Styela clava: one gene and its partners. The protein of the gene in region 1 purifies or fractionates together with the protein of each later gene. This does not show direct contact. Links are inferred from orthologs where the notes say so. Each region holds a gene or a part of one and is shown in the gene's direction. Other genes may lie near its edges.

Evidence for each region.
Region 2: the proteins of stress-induced-phosphoprotein 1-like (region 1) and dnaJ homolog subfamily C member 7-like purify together in Homo sapiens (affinity purification with mass spectrometry; 4 studies listed by BioGRID and IntAct, with this or other methods). This does not show direct contact. The link is inferred for Styela clava from reciprocal best matches to the Homo sapiens genes STIP1 and DNAJC7.
Region 3: the proteins of stress-induced-phosphoprotein 1-like (region 1) and ATP-citrate synthase-like fractionate together in Homo sapiens (co-fractionation; 3 studies listed by BioGRID, with this or other methods). This does not show direct contact. The link is inferred for Styela clava from reciprocal best matches to the Homo sapiens genes STIP1 and ACLY.

Annotation. Positions count from the first base shown.
Region 1 is NC_135264.1:16,802,078-16,809,775, forward strand, and holds the start of stress-induced-phosphoprotein 1-like, read left to right. Parts: upstream 1-4,602; 5' UTR 4,603-4,812; coding exon 4,813-4,827; intron 4,828-5,791; coding exon 5,792-5,875; intron 5,876-6,682; coding exon 6,683-6,814; intron 6,815-7,369; coding exon 7,370-7,511; intron 7,512-7,698. UniProt on the Homo sapiens protein: Acts as a co-chaperone for HSP90AA1. Mediates the association of the molecular chaperones HSPA8/HSC70 and HSP90.
Region 2 is NC_135261.1:467,496-475,271, forward strand, and holds the start of dnaJ homolog subfamily C member 7-like, read left to right. Parts: upstream 1-4,682; 5' UTR 4,683-4,885; coding exon 4,886-4,965; intron 4,966-5,249; coding exon 5,250-5,338; intron 5,339-6,467; coding exon 6,468-6,592; intron 6,593-7,255; coding exon 7,256-7,369; intron 7,370-7,776. Other genes in the region: 26S proteasome regulatory subunit 7, read left to right, coding at 1,746-3,050. UniProt on the Homo sapiens protein: Acts as a co-chaperone regulating the molecular chaperones HSP70 and HSP90 in folding of steroid receptors, such as the glucocorticoid receptor and the progesterone receptor.
Region 3 is NC_135263.1:10,041,471-10,048,862, forward strand, and holds the start of ATP-citrate synthase-like, read left to right. Parts: upstream 1-4,344; 5' UTR 4,345-4,448; coding exon 4,449-4,607; intron 4,608-5,038; coding exon 5,039-5,224; intron 5,225-6,408; coding exon 6,409-6,522; intron 6,523-6,966; coding exon 6,967-7,043; intron 7,044-7,184; coding exon 7,185-7,264; intron 7,265-7,386; coding exon 7,387-7,392. Other genes in the region: cilia- and flagella-associated protein 206-like, read left to right, coding at 1-661. UniProt on the Homo sapiens protein: Catalyzes the cleavage of citrate into oxaloacetate and acetyl-CoA, the latter serving as common substrate in multiple biochemical reactions in protein, carbohydrate and lipid metabolism.

The DNA of each region.
Region 1 (7,698 bases):
GAACAACTGCATCCATACAGCTGTAGTTATTTGATGATATATTACAGCATAAAATAAAAGAACAACTAATGCATGTTTTTCTTAGTGAGATATTTGGCAACTTTTATGCTTTACCAAGCGCTTCATATTAGGACGAATTGACGATTTGGGAAACTTTCAACCGCATACAATCGTCACTTCACTGGACCGCGAGTTCCGGTTCGGGATCCGAATTTCCGTTCCGCAGCATTTTTACTCTTGAATGTTTTGATCGACTACTGAGGCATCACTGTACAACCAATTTATATTGTACCAAAATAAATTGTAGTCTTTGATATTTTATCGCGGATCAAAGGATCGTCCTAACGTTGATATCTCGAAATAAAACTTGGGTGGTAGCATTGTGACAAAACGAAGTCAGTACTCAGTATTGATAGAACCAATCAAATTTGTATAATTAGTAACTTTGCAAAAATACGAATAAAAACTAAATATATTCGGGCGGTTGGAAACACTTTTTATGGTCGTGGATCGCCGTGATATTTCATAGTATTGTGTCATTTTGTCGACGCAGCCGCAGGTTACATTAAGCACACCTTTAAATTGATAACGCTAGGAATATAAATAGACTGGGATTAGTTGTCAATTGAATACTTTTTTTCACAAGTGGCCTGTCTAATTGCGCGGACAGTTTCATGGAAATTTCATGGCAAATCATCAGATATGTATTCATAAGAATTTATGACTTCACGCCACTAAATACACTAAATCGCCTGAATGCTTCGCGGGCCGCACGAAATTCCTTGACGGGCAGCATGTGGCCCGCGGGCCGCAGGTTCGTCACCCCTGACCTAGAGTGTAGCGGGAAAAGTTACATTTTATGAACAATATTTACAGTGTTACAAAAGCAAAAGTGGAACTAAATTTTATTTCAATTTCAACAAATTTTTTGAGCTATATTATTTATCTTAAACATTCAAATTTGGTTTTAGTTTGGTGGTTGCAGCATCATGCGGGCTAACTTAAATTAACGGACCCGATTCGACGACCCAACAAATAAGAATAAACGACAAACCTGTGCATTTATATCGGCCTGTTTTATTCAACGATCTACTATTTATAAAGGAAATAAATACTTAGCTTCTCAAGCAATAGACATCAAAATAATCTCAAATTGGAAATTATTGAAACTCACCTTTTTACTTAGATACTGACGTACACGGTTCCATTACATTTGAACCCACGTACATTTGAACCCATGACAATTGCACCTGTATGCTATTGCACCTACGGAATTTTTTTTGTTTAACGAATAGTTAAACCCCCACTAACCCTAACCCATGGGTTTTAGCACCCGCATATAGATTGAACCCGTGGATATACACATAGGTTCAAATGTACGTGGGTTCAAATGTACGGTCACCGACGTACACATATCTCAATTCAAAAACGATATTTGAAGGTTGCCAGTCAACGATCAAGCAGCGAATCTTTTTGCTTTGCCATGGGCACTATTTTATGTATTTACGCCACTGATTAAAAGCAGTCATGGATATGGTAGGATCTACTATTTTCGAATGTAATGAATACTTAGCTTACCAAGCAAAAGCCACGTGTGTAGCCTACAGCAAGGTGCGTTATTCCAAATCATCTTTCATCACGGAAATGTTCGTCAAGTCTAGACATCTGTTCTCTCTTGGTGTTTTTATTTTGCCTTTTGCTTTCTCACATAAAGGAAACCAGATCTTTAAATCTTCTCTGCAACATGTGAATATAAAAAAAGTATCGGTGGATCGAGGCCTACTCTTGAATAAATAAATAGTAATCTAAGCGAGTTTAACTAACCGATTTGTTGCAATAAATAGTATTTCCAATAATACCTCACTTCGGCCCAAACTGCATGTTACTTGGTGTTCTTTAACTCTGGCGGTCGACGCACCGTGATAAATGTTAAGAGCGCGATAGCCACCGCATCTCTTAATTACCGTGCGCGCTTTTGAATCTTGTGCGGACGATTATGTGATTGGACACCCTGTATATTGAGAACTGACTTCATAACAAAATTGAAATATCAAAGCGACTTTATGGACACCCTGTATTTTTACATACAAGGTGGCGTAAACTCAGGATCACCGTCATTCAATTATAAAACCAAATCCATAAAAAAATGCAGCCTTCTTAGCCACACCTAGTCAAACAACTAGTATATTAAAAAAAGTCAAATGTTAAAAGAATACCATGCCCAAAGTTTGAAAAAAATCTAGCCTACTTCGGAGCCACACCGTATATGGACGCATTTGTCAAACAACTAGTAATAACAATTAGTCACAAAATAAAACACTCAAATGTTAAAACGAAACCTAACGATCACAAAACAGTATGATTCACAAACTACAGAGCACGCAATGAATCTTAGGGGTCGCAAAGGGTACACCAATTTCAAACACAGTACTATATCTATTGCACCATTTTAGGCTTTTAACCCGAAACATAATTATTGAAACCAGTTCAAAACATAAATCTCACGATTTCGAGAGAAAATATAGGATTAGAGAAGTGGCGCGCTTGCATTACAATGCCGACTTAACAGGGGTCGCAGAAGATTCAATATATTGGAAGGGATCGGGCGCGAAATTTCGGGAAGCCCTGATCTCATACATAGACGGTTTTGGCCGTGCACTGTAAAGATGATTAAAGAGGAGTCAATTACCAAAGTGATTGCTGTGTTAGCGTGCAACAAAAACTTTGACTTTTCCCGAAGTAAATGGAATGTGGACAATCTGAATACACAGCGATGGCTCTGCAATTAAAAATGTTCCATCACAGCACTCGATAACGACTAGGATTTACATATTTATCCCGCCTGCGGTGGCGAGCGTGCATCTCTTATGCTTAGCACTCTCGACCATTGATCTAACTACATGCCCATATATAGGGGATGAACACTCCCGCTAAAAATTTTAAACAATCTCCTAATTTTCAGACGTGACATCACACTTTAATTCCTAACTTAAATAAAATTGTATTTGATTATTCAGAAAGTGGATTACAATATACGCCGATATCTACCAAAATATGTAGAACATCTACCATCCCCAAATTTGGAAACACCCCTCTAAATTTGAAAAGCCGGAAAACATATTGGTCTCTACTTTATAAAATGAAACTGTTGAAAAGTCTCATTGTAGCCTACCTCTAAGTGGTGGGATTCAAATATTTTGCCAGCCGGTTCCTTCACAATAGTCATTGCCAGTAACCAATAATGCTAACTGTACCGGCTGAATCCCACCACTACATGTACCCCAGTTTGGGAACCCCTGTTCTACAAACACAGTTCTGTCTCTGGAAGAATGATACCAATTCAGAGCCCAGTAGGAGAAGGCTGTTCATCCGACTGGCGACCATGTAGTTGTGGTTCTTTAAAAATATTCCTCACGCTTTGAAAGATACCCAGAATTTCAAAACCAAATTTAGGGATAAGACAAAATCTTTTAATATTATTCTCGAGGAGAGGGGTGCCGACACGAATAAAAAATCATATGACGTACCATGACCTCTCTTCCGGTTACCGGTCCATGTCAGGTTGTTAATTAAATAAGATTTTAAACCTTTTGGTCATCGTAAATATCCGTGACGTAAAGGAAGCGTAGAGGTGTTGTAAACATAAGACCAGGTACAAGATTGGGTTCGAATTCCACTGGATTCATGTGTAGAAAGTTATCTAGAGCGTAAACAGGGTTAATTAAGAGGATAAGTCAAGAAAAAAAGGTACAGGCAGAAAGGGGAAAGAAAGATAGGCAGAAGTCAGCCTGATCTGGTTGCAAGAGAGGTGCAGACAAGTCGAGCACAGGGTGACTGGGGTCGGGAAAGAGACCCGAAAAGGGGTCATATGCAGGAGCTGGCTAGAATGGTTGAAAGAAAGGTGTTGTCAGGCCCAGGCAAAGAGAGGAACGCGAAATGATGGTGTACGGTGACTAGGATCAGAAAAGAGACCCAAATAACCCCATCAGATGGAAGTCGCTTATTTAACTTGGTGTCAGCTATTTACTTAGTTCATCTTACTCAGAAGCAGAGGACGTGATCTCTTACGAAGAAATTACGAGCGAACCACTAAAGTAGTTTTGACACAAGGCTTATTGTTTCACACTTTCGCTGTAAATATTGTTCCTGAAATGTAACTTATTATGTCATATATACATAGCCTACATGGCCCACCAGTATGGGCTCACTTCTCGGTTAGATGACCTCAAAGAATAGGCTTCATGCACCGCTGCTGAAACTAGTGGAAAGGAAAAATAGTACGGCGCGCAAAACGAGTTTTCAATTTAGTTGAAGACTAAAGTTGACCCCAAGAACCGCGCCGCGCTTATGGCGCATCTATAATTACCCTGCTTCGGCTCGCGGGGTCGAATCCCGTAGTTGATAATTATGTGCAAAAGAATTGCTGGTTTTCCATATAATTAGGTGGACTCTTCAGCTCATTTCTCCCTCGGGATAAATATAAAATCCTATATCGCGGATATAAATTTGCAACAAAAGAAATCACGGAACCACAGCCAGAATGATCCTTCTCGAATGAAGTGCAGTCAAGCGTATTCACATGTGTGAATTCGGGAATTTTCTAAAGAAAGTCTGGTCATTAGAAGTGAATTTGGTCTTTCATCTATATTTTGTATTAAATTTCAATTTTTAGAGATCAAATTAGGTATTTTAAACATATAAATCTGTGTATAATTTCTTAATTGCAAGCTGTGTCCGGTAGAGTCGACTTGAAGACAAACTGGTTGAGAAATAAAGGTGTAACATCCCATCTTTGTTTGTTGGGAAGTGGAAATGGCCGAAAATAAGGTAACTATTCTAAGAAAAATTTATTGTCTAGATCGGCATTGAATACTGTTTGACTGATAGTCTACAACCGCTGGTTATTTCGGAACTTAGTTTCAACAATTGAGTCTGAGCTGCCATGCATATGGTTGTAGACTACAGTCTGACAGTTGTATGCTACAGCAGTACAGGGGTGGTGACTCCTGTAAGGCCCATGGGCCGGGGCCACGGCCCATCTAATTGGGCCACATGGGCCGTGGCCCATCAGAAAAAAATTCAATTATCTTGCCAAAATTTTCAATTCTTACAAAATTGTCAATTTTCGAACCAAAAAAAATCGCGGGATGCCACCAAAGCTTTTTCTTATGAAAAGCCTTTACATAAAAATAAAGAAAAACACTAAGCTACAGAAAATGATACACCTGAAGTATGTGTACCAGGTTAGGGTTAGGACAAAACTTTGTTCAGATTTTTCACATTATAGTTCTATTACAAGTTCGGGGTGTGGGTAGGATTTAGGTAGGAACTACATATTTGTTAGTCTTTATTATTTCACCCCATTACACAACTTGATGGGCCGCGGCCCATAGCCTGATGGGCCGAGGCCCATTTCGATGGGCCGTGGCCCCGGCTCATGGGCCGTAGAAGAGTCACCACTCCCACTCGTTGTATGGGACAATTACTGAATCAACTGGTTTTATTGGTTAGCTTGACAATATATCATGATTAGCCGTGTTTTCATCTTTTCTTTTCTGCCGAAATATTAAAATGTATATGTAAGCCAAGTAAACCAACATACAGTTATTTTTAACAAATTTTAGGCGTCAAAAAGCACGGTAACATCTGAACATGCATTCCAGTATTCTGAATATGTTTCATAGTAGACTATTTGGTTTGGCTCCTTTTTTATTATATTTTTCAAAATGCTTAAATATTGAAAAACACTTAGCTGTTTTGTGAGTTTTTATTGCATTTGTTTTCTGTTCAGACAATGTCTGACGAATTCAAAGCCACAGGAAACAAAGCATTAACAGAAGGAAGAATAGCGGACGCAATCGAAGCTTATACAAAAGTGAAATTACTTTCCTAGTTTCGAAGCTTTTGTATTTGTAGTATTGCTTGCATGATGACTTTCTGAGCAAAGATGTGCTAACAGGACAAGTTGATAGGCTAACTCATTAACAGCCTACCGTACATATGCAAAAATTTCTTAATTTCTTGGAGCTGCCGTTAAGGCTCTGAAAAGCAATCTCAGACTTCAACTTGTGATAATCCAAAAAGCACTAAATTGGGGGCTCCCGAAGTATGCAAACCAAGATGGCGGACATTGGAATGTAATATGTGTACTAGGTTAGGGTTGGGCCATAATTTTAGGTATAAATACTACGGGAGGCTCTTGGCTAGTCTTCAAACTGATAATAGGACTAAAATAAGGAAAATTGGATAAAAATTATCGCCTAACCCTAACCTGTTACGCTCCGATGTCCGCCATCTTGGTTCGCATACTTCGGGAGCACCCTAAATTGATTAATCATTTTAAACAGACAATCGAAAAAGGCATATGCTCAAATTTATATGGCAAACATTCTGACATTTGGTACGAAGTTTGCATCAGAGTTATTTTAAACTACCCATGCATTATAAGGAAGTGAACTTGACAGCAAATGGGAATATTAAAAAAATATTCCTTTCCAACTCCCTCACTATGGGTGTAATAAATGGGGTCTGCAGTGGAATGATTCTGACAATGGATGATTCCAGGCTTTCAATAAATACTAGCTCCTTTTATACCAGTAAATGCTTGCACAGGGCCTCGTTCAGAGTGCAGTGCAAATAATATCAAATATAATTAATCTTGAATGTGTTGATTTAATTTCAGGGAATTGAAATTGATAAAGACAATCATATACTGTACAGTAATCGCTCAGCAGCTTATGCCAAGGATGAAAAATATTCGGAAGCATTGACTGATGCAGAGAAAGTTATTGAACTGCAGCCTAAATGGCCAAAGGTAAAACGAGAATATCGGTCGGAGACCGAAGACTCATCGATCGAAGGTTAGGGGATCCCCCAAAACAGCGCTCTTACTCCATAGTGACACCGTGTGTCCTATTACTAATTAAATGATAACTCGCCAATTATACGACATAATTCATCGAAAATCAATAGGCTTCTGATCCGAGCTATGATGAATGCACATGCAAAATTTGGAGCAGATTCAACCTCGATTTCGTGAGATATCGCGTGTATCTAACAGACAGATACCTATCAACATACTTATCGATTGAAGTCGATAAGTAATGATGATTGGATTCAGGATAGGATTTATAATGGGAAGGGAGAAGCCGATAGGACGGCCTAATCATATGACGAACCATGACCTCTTGTACGGTTACCAGTCCATGTCGAGTGTGGAAGGAGGCAGTAATTACGTGAACCACTCTATGACTAAGGATAGACAGTGGATTAGATATTATTTCATTTAGCTTACTTTATTACGACGGGCTCGCATTTAGGAATTTTTCAAATAAAGTATATACACATTTTCAAATCTTTTAATTTCCAGGGCTACTCACGTAAGGGATCAGCATTACAATTTCTTACAAGATATGACGAAGCCAAGAATACTTTCGAAGAAGGTTTGAAAATTGATTCAAACAATGAACAACTAAAGAAAGGACTGAAGGAATGTGAAGATGAAATTTCTAGTGAGTAACAGTGTGTTGTAAGATTGAATTGCAGTTTATTTTGTTCCTGAATAGCTATCCTATGCTGAGTGTACTCAGTTTACTGTGCGTTGCTATGCACAGTTGCCCATGGCTACTTCACCGCCAGTGCCTGAAGTGCCTTTCACTTGTAACGGTTTTGGTTTTTGGACATTGATCTTTATAATCA
Region 2 (7,776 bases), on another chromosome or scaffold:
ATGTAAAGTTACAGGAGGAGTCCCGCTTTGAAGTCAAAAAAATATGGTAACCCTAGATAGATACAGTAGTTTATTTTGAAAACTCCATAACACACACAGATTAAAAATGGAGGATTCCGGAGAGCATACAAAATAGTTTAAGACATGATAAATATCATGCCCCTCAGCACACACACAAACCAAATTAAATGAGGCGTGGGCCAGAATTGAACAAACAAAATATGGAGTCTTATGTAGTTTCGTACCTAACATACTTTTGGTGGGCGTATAGTAACAATATTTGCACGTGTCAATCCTAACCCCCACCTGACCATGCCATCCAAAAATTATGTCTCTCTGACGTCACAGTGGCGTAATAGAGCCCTTCAAACTATACGAACCGTCATCCAAAACGCGCTTGTCTGCACACCTGAAATCGAATGGCTACTTCTCTCGTTTTTTCATCTCGACGATCCCAATATGAGAGAGATCACTAACGTTAGTAAGTTCTTTATCGCCGGCACCGATGCCATTTCAGGCGATCGTACGTATATTTGTCAAGCTCTATGACGTGATTGTGATGTCGCAGTGAAGTAATATTTGGATGGCATAGTCAGGTGGGGGTTAGGATTGATATGTCAGAAAATTGTGATGCTACGCCCACTAGAAGTATGTTAGATACGAAACTACACGAGACCCCAAATACGAAATAGTATTTAACTTTCGGGCTGTTGTACTTTTAACACTTACATTGATATAACCAATACAATCTGATATAAAGATAATGTGGGGAGTGCAATGTAATAAACTGACAACAATAGTCATTGAAGCTAAGAAAAACCGAGCCATGAAAAACTACACTGCTATTTGCCTGATTGCTAGATCGGGCATTGCTGAAAAAGGTGATGAAGTGGTATAAGATCAAGCAAACTCTAAACTATGACGGTAAACTCGGTGTACGAACGCTAATAAAAACAATTTTCAGGAAAAACACTAATCACACGTGAACAGGTCTGTAGCCTAATTGATATATTGACGTGGCCAGCATTGTTAAAACAGTATACACAAAGAGAGAACAAAACAAAAATATGCCATCAAATGAATGTTCAAAAACGTTGAGCATTGTTATGGTCATATCAATTTACATTAAAAACTATTTACGCATATATAGTTGAATTCTCATTTAGTATTCAAGTAGAATTTCTAGCACAGTACAGCACCCTATCCAAATTTCAAGAATTTCCCTCCAATTGGCTCAATAAACCAAACACTCTATGTGTCTCACAAACGAGGGGTGTCTGGGGCCACGTCAGATGCGTCATATCACACCATGCTTGTCTCAATAATAATCTAAATTAATCGTGGCAGTCACATGACCAAAATTGCCGTTTTCTGCTAAAAACTCTCGAATGCTCCGGTAAAATTTTTTCTCCTTCGGTAAATCGGATTGAAATTCAACGATGATTTTACTAAATTGCGCTTTTTTGTAGTATTTTTCCCAATATTTCAGTATTTACATGTTGATATTTCTTCGGTGCTGGTTCATTTCAGTCCTTCTGCACCGCTGAAAAATGCAACTGCACCGGATGACTGCCAAACGTGTAGAGATGGTAAAATGATTCATTCACAGATTAAAAAAATTAATCAAATAGCGAATAATGTATAATAATAATTATATACCGGTAAGTCTGTATGTGTTTTTTCAATAACAGTTCAATTTTGCTAGTGTTATAATAATTTATAAAGTAAAGTAAATAACAATAAAAATGCCAGACTATTTGGGAGATGACCAACGCAGAGTCCGTGACGATGAAAATAAGGACGAGAAACCGATCCAAGCTCTGGATGAAGGAGATATCGCACTCCTGAAGACGTACGGACAGGGTCCGTATGCGAAGCAAATCAAACAAGTTGAAGATGACATCATAGCGATTACGAAACGTGTTAATGAGCTCACAGGAATTAAAGAATCGGATACTGGACTCGCCCCACCGGCTTTGTGGGATCTTGCCGCGGATAAACAAACGTTGCATAGTGAACAACCATTGCAAGTAGCCCGATGTACGAAAATTATTGATGCTGACACAGATAACGCCAAGTATATCATCAATGTGAAGCAATTTGCGAAGTTCGTCGTAGACCTTGGAGATCAAGTCGCTCCAACCGATATAGAAGAAGGCATGAGAGTGGGGGTAGATAGAAATAAATACCAAATTCATATCCCGTTACCCCCTAAAATAGACCCCACTGTTACCATGATGCAGGTTGAAGAAAAACCAGATGTAACATATTCGGATGTCGGAGGCTGCAAAGAGCAAATTCAGAAGTTACGTGAAGTAGTGGAAACTCCCTTGTTGCACCCTGAACGTTTCGTTACACTTGGAATAGATCCTCCAAAGGGGGTTCTTCTTTTTGGACCCCCAGGAACAGGGAAAACGCTCTGCGCGAGAGCAGTTGCTAATCGTACGGATGCCTGTTTTATTCGTGTTATTGGTTCCGAGTTGGTACAGAAGTATGTCGGGGAAGGAGCCAGAATGGTTCGTGAATTATTTGAAATGGCTCGTACTAAGAAAGCATGTTTAATTTTCTTTGATGAAATTGATGCCATAGGTGGCGCTAGATTCGACGACGGAGCTGGCGGGGATAATGAAGTTCAACGTACAATGTTGGAGCTCATCAACCAATTGGATGGATTTGACCCGCGTGGAAATATCAAGGTACTAATGGCAACGAATCGGCCTGACACTTTAGACCCAGCGCTGATGCGTCCAGGTAGAATGGACAGAAAAGTAGAATTTGGGTTGCCAGATCTTGAAGGCAGAACCCACATTTTTAAAATCCATGCACGGAGTATGAGTGTCGAGCGTGACATTCGATACGAGCTTTTGGCTCGTTTGTGCCCAAACAGCACTGGCGCTGAAATTCGCAGCGTTTGCACTGAGGCTGGAATGTACGCTATTCGTGCTCGAAGAAAAGTTGCAACGGAAAAAGATTTTCTGGAAGCTGTCAACAAAGTGATCAAGTCATACGCAAAGTTCAGCTCAACACCAAGATATATGACCTATAACTAACTGTGGAATTATGTTATATGGATTGTTGACTATATTGGAATTATACAAAAAAAATGTTTTCAAAAAATTCACATCAAATTGACGTTGGCAATAATATTAATGGATATAATTATAGAACTGAAAACTTACAATTTGCAAGTTATATTGACATTGTCCATTTAGGTTTTTTTAAAAAAAATTATTATTCCAGTCATATCAGGATAGTAATGTAAGGTTAATTAACTATCTAGGTCACAGGTATTTTTACCTTCTGGAAGTGTGATATTGCTGTTAACACTCTCTTAGTCTATCTATTTATGGCAATATCATTTGTTGCCTATGGGATGGGCTTGATTGTATTGTTGTGTAGGGCTGTATATGGAAATGTTTAGAACAGTGGTTCCCAAACTTTTATGGCTTGTGGCCTCTTCCCAGAGGATCATGGCCCCCTGTTTATTATTCCAGTGGTATTTGTAGTATTATTTTGATCCCAAATCTCGGTATGGTAAAACAGATGGAAAATGGGTTGTTTTCTAGTAGAAGAAAATGTAAAATCAGTTTTGAGTCTGGCAATGTGGCCCCCATCCAACTGCTCAGCCTGTCTGGTCAGAAAAAGTACCCTTTTAGTCTACTAGATATTGTCGTTATTATTCATTAATGTCAATATTATTCGTGGAATTGCAAGATTATGTTGGTATTGAGGGCTGTGTTTCATAAGTAGGAATGTTTGGATTCACATTTGTTACGTTTGGTTTGCTATTTTGGACAGTTATTTGAAATGAGCATGTTTTAGATTTGGCTGGTAATGTTAATATTATTTTCACATCAGTGATGATATTCTGCATCTGAACTATTGATGAATTTCTTACAAGGCCTGTGTAACAGTTTGATTTAGTGGATTTCTCTATTTCTCAAAGTTTGAAACAATATCCATCAAATTATTTCAATAAAAAGTTTGGATAGTTCAATTGAAAGTCAAAAATTTGTGTTTCCTTATTTCCTAAAAACATATTTTTCAAGTTTCATCTGTTTGGATTGAAGGCTGAAGCCCTCAATTTACTTTTAATGTTCCACTTGCGCCAAGTTTAACAACAGTGACATGCTAATATCTATAGGCCCTGGAATTTCATTTTCATTTCTGTTATTATTTGGTATTTAAAAGATGAAGGATCTTGTTTTTACTTCTTGCAATTTGTGCATTTATATCAGTGGTTCCCAAATCCGTGGGCTAATTACGGCCAGCATAACAATTTAACATGGCCCGCTGAACTTGAGTAAAATAGTTCCACACTTTACGTTTTTATCCTTTTGCGTTTTAAATATCGCAGTTTGAGCTTGTGTTTGTGTATATTTGTAATAATTCAATTATATTGGTATCTTGGTTGTACATACTGGTATTGGGATTACATAAATGTCTCACACTTGCTCTTTCCAGGCCCACAATATCCTTCCGCTTCTAATTTTGGCCTCCTGTCAATCAACTTTGGGAACAACCACTAATTTATATGTTTCATTTATGACAATCCTGGAAATTTTTCATTTTCTGTGCAAGACCTATTGGTGTATGAACTTGAGCACGGGCCATGTTAAATCAATATGTATTTGTATGAATCCATTTGGTCACCTATTTGATGCTTTGTTTTGTATTATTAGTGGCTGCTAGTGGGCCTTCGGCTGCTTGTACTCAGGTTGGATTAGGTAGAATATAAAGTGAAGTAGCTACTCCAAAAATCCTTCAAGGATACAGCCTACATTTGGAAATCGGATTCGAAAATTCTGGATAATCATTTAGAGCTAAATCAAAGCCAAACGTCTACCTTCCCAATAAAAAACTCTGGACACTTGAGGCAGCAGGGATGCCTTCAACGGACTCAAGTCAGCAGATACCAGCGTCATCTCAAACTCCGATGGATGTAGATCCAGAGATTGACATCAAGTAAGTTTTGGACAAAAAATGGCGGTTAAATTATATTACCTTGTGTGTGAATATTTTGGACAATAAATGTTCACCTCGTTGCTTAGCGATGACAGCACAATGACCGGGCATTGAAAGATCTACAGAAAACATCACATAAATATGTTCCATATTTAAAAATAGGCCCATTGTTTTGGAATAGATTTGGCCATCTGTGTTTATTGCTAATAATAATTTTCATTTTTTAAAGTACTTTACCCCCCTGCTTCTCTCCTTCTATAACTAAATTTTTAACTTTTATTTAGGGGTGCAGAAGTGAAGAAAGCTGAGGGAAATGAGTTTTACAAGAAAAAAAATTATCGAGAAGCCGTTAGACTTTATTCTGAGGCGATTGGTAAGATTTGTTTTAACAGTCTGCCCACTAGGGGTGCTCAAAATTTAGCTTAACGTAGAATTTTTAAAGTCGGTGGTTACCAACATTTTTCAATACATTCCTCCTTTTGCCTATATTGGATCTCTGGGACTCCCGAAGTATGCGAACCCAGATGGCGGACATCGGAATGTTATATGTGTACTAGGTTAGGGTTAGGCCATAATTTTAGGTATAAATACTACGGGAGGCTCTTGGCTAGTCTTCGAACTGATAATAGGACTAAAATAAGGAAAATTGGAAAAAAATTATCGCCTAACCCTAACCTGTTACCCATGTTACGTTCCGATGACCGCCATCTTGGTTCGCATACTTCGGGAGCACCGGATCTCTTTTATTCCTCTCTCACTATGCATTGGAGCCCTGTTTCCTTTATTTTATAAATTATTAATGCATCTCTAGTTAGTGATACGCACAACTCTCAATCTGACTTTTGTACAGTTTGAATGGTCTATAATGTGAACATATTTACCGGTTCATGACTTACAATAATACTAAATAACTATAATATTAGACCACAGAATTCATGGGTATATATCTGCAATTCCTCTCTCCTCATTGGTTTGAAGTTATTGATAATTGAAAAAAATGTCAAATGCTTGAAAAACCAAATTATTTTCGAAATCAGTATTTAGAATGTTACTATCCATAATTTTGGATGTATTTTAAGGAGGCCATTTCCACCCCCTTTTTTTCTCTAAACAAGCCAGAGACCATTGTTTACTGATTTTAAAACGACTGAAACCTTTCTCGTTTCGCATTGCCAGCCAAATGCTAACATGGCCATATTTTTCATTAAAGCCATTGTCAATTCTATTAATTTGAAATTTAAATTATAGTGTTACGATCATATTTTTAATGTGACTACTTTGCCACTACTTTACTGAGAAGTCACTGAAACTATCAGAGTCCTTCACGCTCAGTTCATCGCACCATGGGTGAGACAATGGGCACGGGGAACAAACCCATGGGTCTACCAAGATCTTTTACCTACAATGCCAAAATATCTAATTCCAATTCTTTGATCACTCTCGAGAATATTCAATCTAATCTGGACATTCCTGCTCACAATTCTCCATCTTGTTATTCTCAGATCTAAATCCAAAAAATGCTGCTTTCTACGGAAACAGATCAGCAGCCTATATGATGGATTCCAATTATAAAAGAGCTCTTGAAGATGCCCAGACCAGTGTCAGACTTGACCCACACTTTGCTAAGGTGAGATTGTTAGGACTTTTTTTGACATTTTTCTTCAATCTAGCAAAAACAGTGAAAAACCACTAAAAACGTACAGATCGCTTGCAAAAACGTTAAAAACAGTGAAAATCCACCAAAAATGTGCAGAAATCTTGCATAAATGGGGAAAACAGTGAAAATCCACCAAAAACCTTCCACGATATGTGCAACACGCACTTGCTTTTGTACGGTTTGAAGAATTTATGCGCTCATAAATATAACAATATTAATGAAACTAAACCAAATCGGCCAAAACCAAAAGTAAAATTTCATTTCTCAAAACAACAAAATTTTCTCACTTGAGAGCCGTCCCTCCCTGGTGGTGAATCGTTGATTCTCAAATTTATCCTGGTTGAGAGGAAATCTGTCAGGGTATGAATCATATGGAGAGCAAATCAATGTTTCCCAGTTACCAGTTCAGGTTGGGTATGTAAAATGTTGCAGTTAGATCAAGATACGTGAATCCGCAAATGTTCGGTGTTTCCAAATAACAAGTAACAATTTATAATTCATTGGGTAAATGTAGAACTCGGGACAATCATTGTATAAAAAAATATTCAAGTAATTTGTGTAATGACAAAACTTTTATAAGACAATTTATAGGTGCTTCATAAATAAGAACATACAATTTTCTTTCTTTCTTAGGGTTATCTTCGTGAAGGCAAATGTCATATTGCACTTGGCAATTCCAAAGCAGCTCTTCTCTCGTTACAAAAAGCCAAAGATCTCGATCCAAGTGCCGGAGCTATAATGCAAGAGGTGGGTTGCCCAGTCTGTCTTGTCCCTCTAATGCATGTTTTTTTGTATTGTGGATGCCACGGATGGTCAATTCCGAATATGAAATTGAGTATATTCTAATAAAGAAAGCAATGCTCGAATATATGGACATCAAGGCCAAAATAAAGTAGTACGGGAACGCAATCTCTCGGCTTCACCTGACCATGCGTACACGGAACCGCCATGGGGTGCACAATTTTTTATTTTGATGATGACATCGCACACAGAAAATGAATCCCATAGATCCTACAGAAATTTTTGTAATGAATGAAAGTAACAGACACTTGTGTAATACTGAAATATACAAACTTAATCACTTAAAATTTCAAAGCAATTGATCCAATACTCAGTGAGGAAAGCGATACTTTGCTTGTGCGCGTTATTTTATA
Region 3 (7,392 bases), on another chromosome or scaffold:
TCCAGAGACAACAAAAAATTACAACCAGCTCTTGCTACAATATCGAGGATACTGTGGATTTTCAATAGTGAGGAATGATCGACTTTTACTACCAGGGAATCCAGATATTGGCATTTTACAATATCAAGACAAACTCTATGTCTTTAGTTCTAATGCAGCTGCTGTTGAATTTGCTAAAAATCCTCCAACTTTTATTAATGGAGTTGCAGAAGCTGCAAAGGCTTCACCGGAATTGATCCAGCTTTTGGAATTGCATCAGCAGTTTGCCAGTATTACTCCTTATCCGCAAGCAGGAGAGGGTGGAAAAATGTTTGAAAAACCTGTCACAAAATCCGATTCTGGAACTCAAACAGACACTCACATACTCGAACACAACATAGTTAAAGATTATGAGTGGAACGAGTGGGAATTGAGAAGAAAAGCAATCAAACTTGCAAACCTGCGTACTAAGCTTACAAAAACAGTACAGACAAATCTCAGTAATCTCCGTAGAGACAACGTGAGTCAAGTATATTTGCCAAAAGAACAAGGTGCACAAACCAAGAAAGAAAGTTCAAGCAATGTTCCAAAGCCGCAAGTTTTCATGGCTGGACTTCGAGGAATCAGAGGAATTAGAACTATGGTCAGAGTTGATTTAACAAAAGATGTCAATGACGCTTAATATTTAGTTTTCATATTGTTTACATGTTACTTCTAATAAAGATATTTCTAATCCTTTATTATAGGAAAAGTTCTATTATAAATCCTGTTTGTATTTTTATAATAACATGCATATAGGAATCTAGTTCATTAATGTGTGTTCAGGTATTCGGGAATACCAAATTCTACTTTATTTGAAAAAATTATCATTTTTTTCAACCCATCTCAATATAAACAAAAATCTGCATTGTTCAGCTTTAGTTTATTGAGAACATCAAAATTTAGGCACTGGTTGGGTCAGTCATCTTGTGGGGTATTTATACCTCTAATTCATATTTAAATGGGGCTTTGCTTGGGCGCCAAACTTGTATGTGGATGTCCGCTGAATTGATTTGTCCTCCGGTAGCCAGTAGAAATTCTTCATGACATCTTGTGATAGGGCTGTCTGTTGCGACAAATGACAGTATAGGATGATAGGATAGGATAGGATTTACATATTTATCCCGGGGGAGAGGAAAGCCGATAAGACGGCTTATCCATATGGCGAACCACGGCCTCTCGTCCGGTTACCATTCCAAGTCGGGTATGGGATTAGTTTTTACTGTATTGTTTGTTTTCGGAAGCATGGACTTGGTGGTGGAGGAAGCCGTAACCGACCAGCGGTTACGTGAACCACCCAACGACGGCGAGGAGTCCAGCAATCCTCTCGCACATAACCATCCCTACATGGGATTCGAACCTGCGAACCCACGCAGAGTAATTAGAGGTGCGGTGGCGAGCGTATTCCTAACGCTTAGCCCGTTGAGCCACACCACCATGCATGTATCCTTACGCCTTTTCTGTTCTCGTAAAGTCCTCTTATATGTTGAGTGTAACTCCGTCTGGGTCTTGCTTGTGATTAGGGTGACCATACGTCCTCCTTTTTCGTTGAAAATTTTGTGTCCTCCAAGGACGCAATAAAAAGTCAAAATGTCCTCCTTTTTCGCGGGATTAATTATTCAAAATTCTCTCATGATATACTCAACAGTTTTTGATGTGTTAAAAAAAATTTCAAAGTGAGTAGAAACTTGGAGGAGCTGTTCCAGAGGTTCGCCGAAGGTTCTCTACAATAGTTATATATAATAAAATCTTTCTAGTACCCAGCTTACTAATTAAGAAAAAATATTAAAATTGCGATAGTCCATCGAAGATATACAATCTTACACGTTTAAACAACTCGTGAAATGGCTCAGGTGTGTCAGGCTCAGGTGTGCCGGGTGTAGCTTCGCGCAGATATATGTTTTACTGGACATGTCAATGACCGTTACATCTTGAATTCAGTACATTTCATTAAAACTCATATCAAAATTGCGCTAGTTCATAATGTAGGCTATGTCAATTTCGGCAAAAATCCGTGAAAAAAAAAAGTTTCAATCCTCATTCGGATGCAGTTTAAAGTTTTGGATACGGATGACTCGTGCTACCTACATTTTTGAGGTATTATATCATCTTTCTAATCTCCAGAATGCAACTTTTATACAACAAAAGATGGTTGCTGCGACACCATTGTGACACAACAATCACTATTTACACACACATCGTATTAGTTAGTATCTAATTCTAAGGTTACACCACAATGATCATTTTATATAACCTTGCAGAAAATTAGCTTCCCCTTTGTGAAGTTCTGATTGAGATCCTAGTTTCAACCTTTGACGGGAGCTTGCACAATAGTGGAGAAGTTCGGCAGAGCACTGCCCTAGGTTAAATGCATACTTGTAATGCATAGCCGTTTATCACGAAAAATCGTGTTGTTCTGCAATTATTTTACGTCATTTTATTTGTATTTCGCAATTTAGTAAAGTTTCGATTTTGGCAAAAAAATTCGTCAGCAGACCCGGTAAAAACCCATTTTACACATGAATTAAAGCAGAAGTATCCATGCCTCAAAAAAGATAAAACTCAAAGTGACTATGAAAACTAATAGAGAAGCGGAGTGAATTACTTGCGGATACGATACTTCCGTTTCTGAGGTGAATGAAGGCAAGATTAGCTTACAGTTGCATGTTGACAAGACAAAAACAGGATTTATTGTGATACACGTGTAGTCTAAATTATATTATAATCTAACAAGTATAAAATTCACAATTACTTGTTCAAAATGAGCCTTTAATTAATAATTATAGTTAAACAAAACGCAGAAAAGTTAATGCTAAGCGCAAAGGGTTCATAGCGCCGAAAATATTCAAATGGAATTTTTTGAGATGCAATGCAATGCGGAAATAAATCTATATTCTATTCGAGAGATGTATCACTGCTTGATTTTTATTATAAAAAGTATCATCCGTTCGGTCTTCAACTTTCTAAAAATATGTGCGGCCGCCAATGACTTGCAACCCTTAATTTTGGCCCGCGAGAGACAAAAGGTTGCCGACCCCTGATTTAGAGAAATAAGACAAACGGGCCAGTCAGTAGTTTATTCTATCACATGCCGAAAGTACACAGTAGACAAACATAATTACGATAAAAAAACGAAGAAATACGTTTCAGTGTGAAAGAAGATAAACTAGTGATAATTATCGAGCAGGGTCACCGATGAGGGAGTGAGTCTAACATTAAATCATTTCGAGAAAAAGTCAAACATAAAATACTAAAAAGCCAGGGTCGAAGTTAGAAGGATTGGTGAGATAGGCATACATTTTTTGTGTTGAAAAGTAAAGGATAAGGACAAATTTTCAGGAGCCAAAGTTCGGGGAAACGTCCGTACCTTATCATTATAATGTTTCGATGCCTATTTTGAAAAGGATTTTCAAGTTCCAGCATGTGCCGAGAGGCCAAACGCTGCAAAAAACACCATTTTATTTAAAATTAATCAAACAAATCTGTCTGAGTGAGAAAAAAAATGTGTCTGCTTTGCTGGATAAATTTCAATTAGTACATGACGACCAGTTTTATGAAAACCTGCCATTTTTAGAGAAAAACAAAACTCGGGTAGAGCGTCGGTTGACCACTGGACGTGTTGTAAATATGATACATTTTCACGAATTAGTTGCTTTCTGGTTGTTACGATTTTTCCAGCTCATCACTGGACATATACGTAGACAAACGCTAAATTGGAACGTCAAAAGACGTACGAATAAGAGCGATGAATTTTCGACATCATAATGTTGCAATAAATACATACCTTCGTCGAGATGTCATTTTATATTTTCCGCTTTAACGTATCGATGCAACGTCGACAACGGGGCATGTCGTGGGCGGATGTGGAGAGAAAAACAGCCGATTATTATTTAAGATAAGTTGTTGCAGAGCCGGCCGGATCAGTCGCGATTCGCTGCCGTGCGGCGTTGGTCTGCGCTGTAGTATTTGTAAAGTGCGGTTGTGATTTAGGTCCTGATTCAGAGTTGCGCATTGACTGACTTTTTCATATTCATTATGAACTTTAGGTATTCAAAAATGCTAGTTCCCCAATCATACACTAATACAGTAATAATACTTTCTGGCAGAAATTTTGCAAAATTGAAGGTTCTACTGACTGTCCAGAAGCTTACAAACGAACTATATTAGTTATAAAACATGGGGTTACATGGTTTATATTTATCAATTATAACTTTAAAAATATATAAAAATAAATTGACATGTAATCTAGACTCTGCAGTGTAGTAGTGATGGACTTATACTAGTGTATTCAGGTATTACTGTATTATAGTAATGCAGTGTTATTACAGTATTAATAGAAAGTCTTGTACTCTACTGGTCTATGTAGTTATACTACAGTCACATTATTGATAGATTTTCAAATAAACTACTGAAATACAACTAACATAGTCATGTCAGCCAAAGCAATTTCTGAAGCTGATGGAAAACTTCTTTTATCAAAACATCTGAAAGATTCGTCCAACCTCAAAAACCGATTCAAATTTGCAACTGTCAATGGATACAGTGATTGGAATGCAACTGTAGCATCAAATACATGGATGAATTCTGAGGTAACAATTTATAATTCCTCAGTTGTGTGACTTTATTCTACTTTCTGACTTTTATATTTGACAGTTTTGAGAAATATGCAGAGCTTAACCAAAATGGTACCAAATCTTGATGGTGCATTTTTCACTATCATACTGTCCTAAGCAACATAAAAATAAAATTTTTATATAATTTAAAAATAGCACTTTCATGCAGTTCTCTGATTCCAAGATGTACCGACATTTGGTACAATAAAACAAACTCACCATTTGTCTCTGAAATACGGGCATCTGGCACAACGGCAGATGCGGCACAACATGCCATGCTTGTTTCAGTAATAATTTAAATCAATTGCGACGTGCGTTGGCCGTCATCTGACCGAAATCGTGTTTTTTTGCTAAAAAAAATCTGGAAAATCAAGTTTAATTTCATCAATTTCTTTAAAAATTTGCAGAAACTAATTGTGAAGCCTGATCAGCTGATAAAACGAAGAGGAAAACTTGGTTTGATAAAGCTGAACACAGACGTCGAAGGTGTGAAAGGATGGGTCAAAGAAAGAGCTCAAAAGGAAATAGTTGTCGGATCAACAAAAGGAATTCTGAAAAATTTCATCATTGAGCCTTTTGTTCCTCACAAACAGGTAAACAAATAAATCAAATTGTCACTGTTGTTGTTATTTCTGTAGCAAAGAAGATTTATAGATTAAGAAGACACTGCTATTTAAATCTTCATCTTCTCAGTGTGCTTTCTGATGTATTGAAGAATGGTAAATATGAATCCAAGAAGCAAAAGTCTTCTTCCGAAATCATTCAAGTCTAGAATTATCATACAAATTCAAGTTTCATACAATTCAGTTTTCACGTTGTAAACTAAAATCAAAAAAGTATCAGATTGAAGATTGCTTTGTCTGTGATAAAATTAACTCTTTTTTTTTTGAGAATTAAAAACACAAAGTTCTGAAACTTTCATAAATATGATAGAAAAATGGTTTAATAATCGTTACTTAATACAAATTTGATTTTCAAGCATTTTCAAGCTACAAAAATACATTTCAAAACACAATATCTTGCCATGTATCGATCTACTTATTCAAAGCTTCATTCGAGGGAAGATATGAAATAACCCATGGAATATTTGAATTTGTCAATAATAAAAAGCTTGTCAACGGAAGTCTAGGTCATGTAAAACTGAGATAGTCGTAATTTTAATTAGATTTTTTTGCGAATGGGTTCTTTTATTGTGATTGATTTACAAGTCTGTGTTGAAATTCATACGGTAACTTCCAAAGTTTTATCAATATATAATATCTAAAATGTATCATATCATCAACACAAGAACCATGGTATTGATTTTGCTGTCAAACATTTTTTTTTCTAGATTTCATTAATTAAAGCAGAAGATTTATTGATTTTATCTTGGCAAAACAACACCTTTTGTCAAAATGTTTGAATTGATTTGGCCTTGAAAGCATAAATACATCAATAAACTGAAATCATAAAATTGGATTTTTAAACTTGTTCGAATATAAAATGTCTTGTCCGAAAACCAATAAATCAATTCTAATTAGGACTGTACTAATTTGAAGATCTTCAGATCGAAATTCGTAAATTTCCATTTTGGCACTGAGAGTTTGCCATACTATTTATTAATGCTTTTATATTGCTTTAAGGAATCATTTTTTGAAATTGGACAGTGCACTGTAGTATGTTCTCTTGCGGCCTAAAAGTATTTTGATTTCATTCGTGTTTAATGATTACAAGCACGAGATGTGTTTTGATTTTCATTTCAATAGATATTACTCATTTTCCTGTTTTACATTCACAGGAAGAAGAATATTATGTTTGTATCTATGGTACAAGAACAGGTGATGCGATCCTATTCTATCATGAAGGTGGTGTTGATATTGGTGATGTTGATTCAAAAGCAAAGAAAATAGAGGTATGAAAATACACTGAAATCCCGAATCTCAAATTTTCCATGCTGGTCAATATATTCTCGAGCGTGTGAAACTAGTGTTTGACTTAGCGATAGATTGAGGTTTCTGGTCGAAACTTGACAATACAAAAATGCAACACAATCACATTAGTTTTTTGTTTTAAAATTGATTAATTGAATAAAAAAAATATGGCGATTCAAATGTCTTTCTGGTGACTATTTTCAACTGGCCGCTTATATAGGCCCTTTTTCTAACTAAAAGTACCAAATGGCTCCTGAAAACTGTTAGTTTGAATACTTAATAGTAACAAAATGGGTACAGGGTTAAGTTTGTACATTATGTTTGAATTTTTGGAGATTTTTTCCTTGTGAATTTGCATGTAGTTTTGGTACATTGAATACAGTTTTTATCATAAAATCTTGTCATATTTTCATATATTTTCACAGATTGATGTTGAGGAGGACGTTACTGTATCAAACATTTGTGAGAATCTACTCGGAGAAGTTTCGAAAAATGCTCATGAGTAAGTATTGTGATCTTAATTGAAAATAGCATTTTTTTTTGTCACAATGTTTGTTGTCTAAAGTAAACGCCTATACACTTTCTACTCTTTTTGCAAATGTTTCATTCTCTTCATTAACCTGCCTTTTTATCATCTGTCCAGAACACTTGGGACTTTCATCAAAGATCTTTTCAACATGTACAGATATCTTCATTTTACATATTTGGAGATAAACCCACTAGGTAAACTTTTGTATATGGTGTGTTTTTGTTCATTCAAATTATTGAATCGGTGAACTCGTTCCCAAAGTTCATTTGTAATTTCAATCATTAATAACAGATCCTTGTATCATTTCTGTTTACAGTTATGT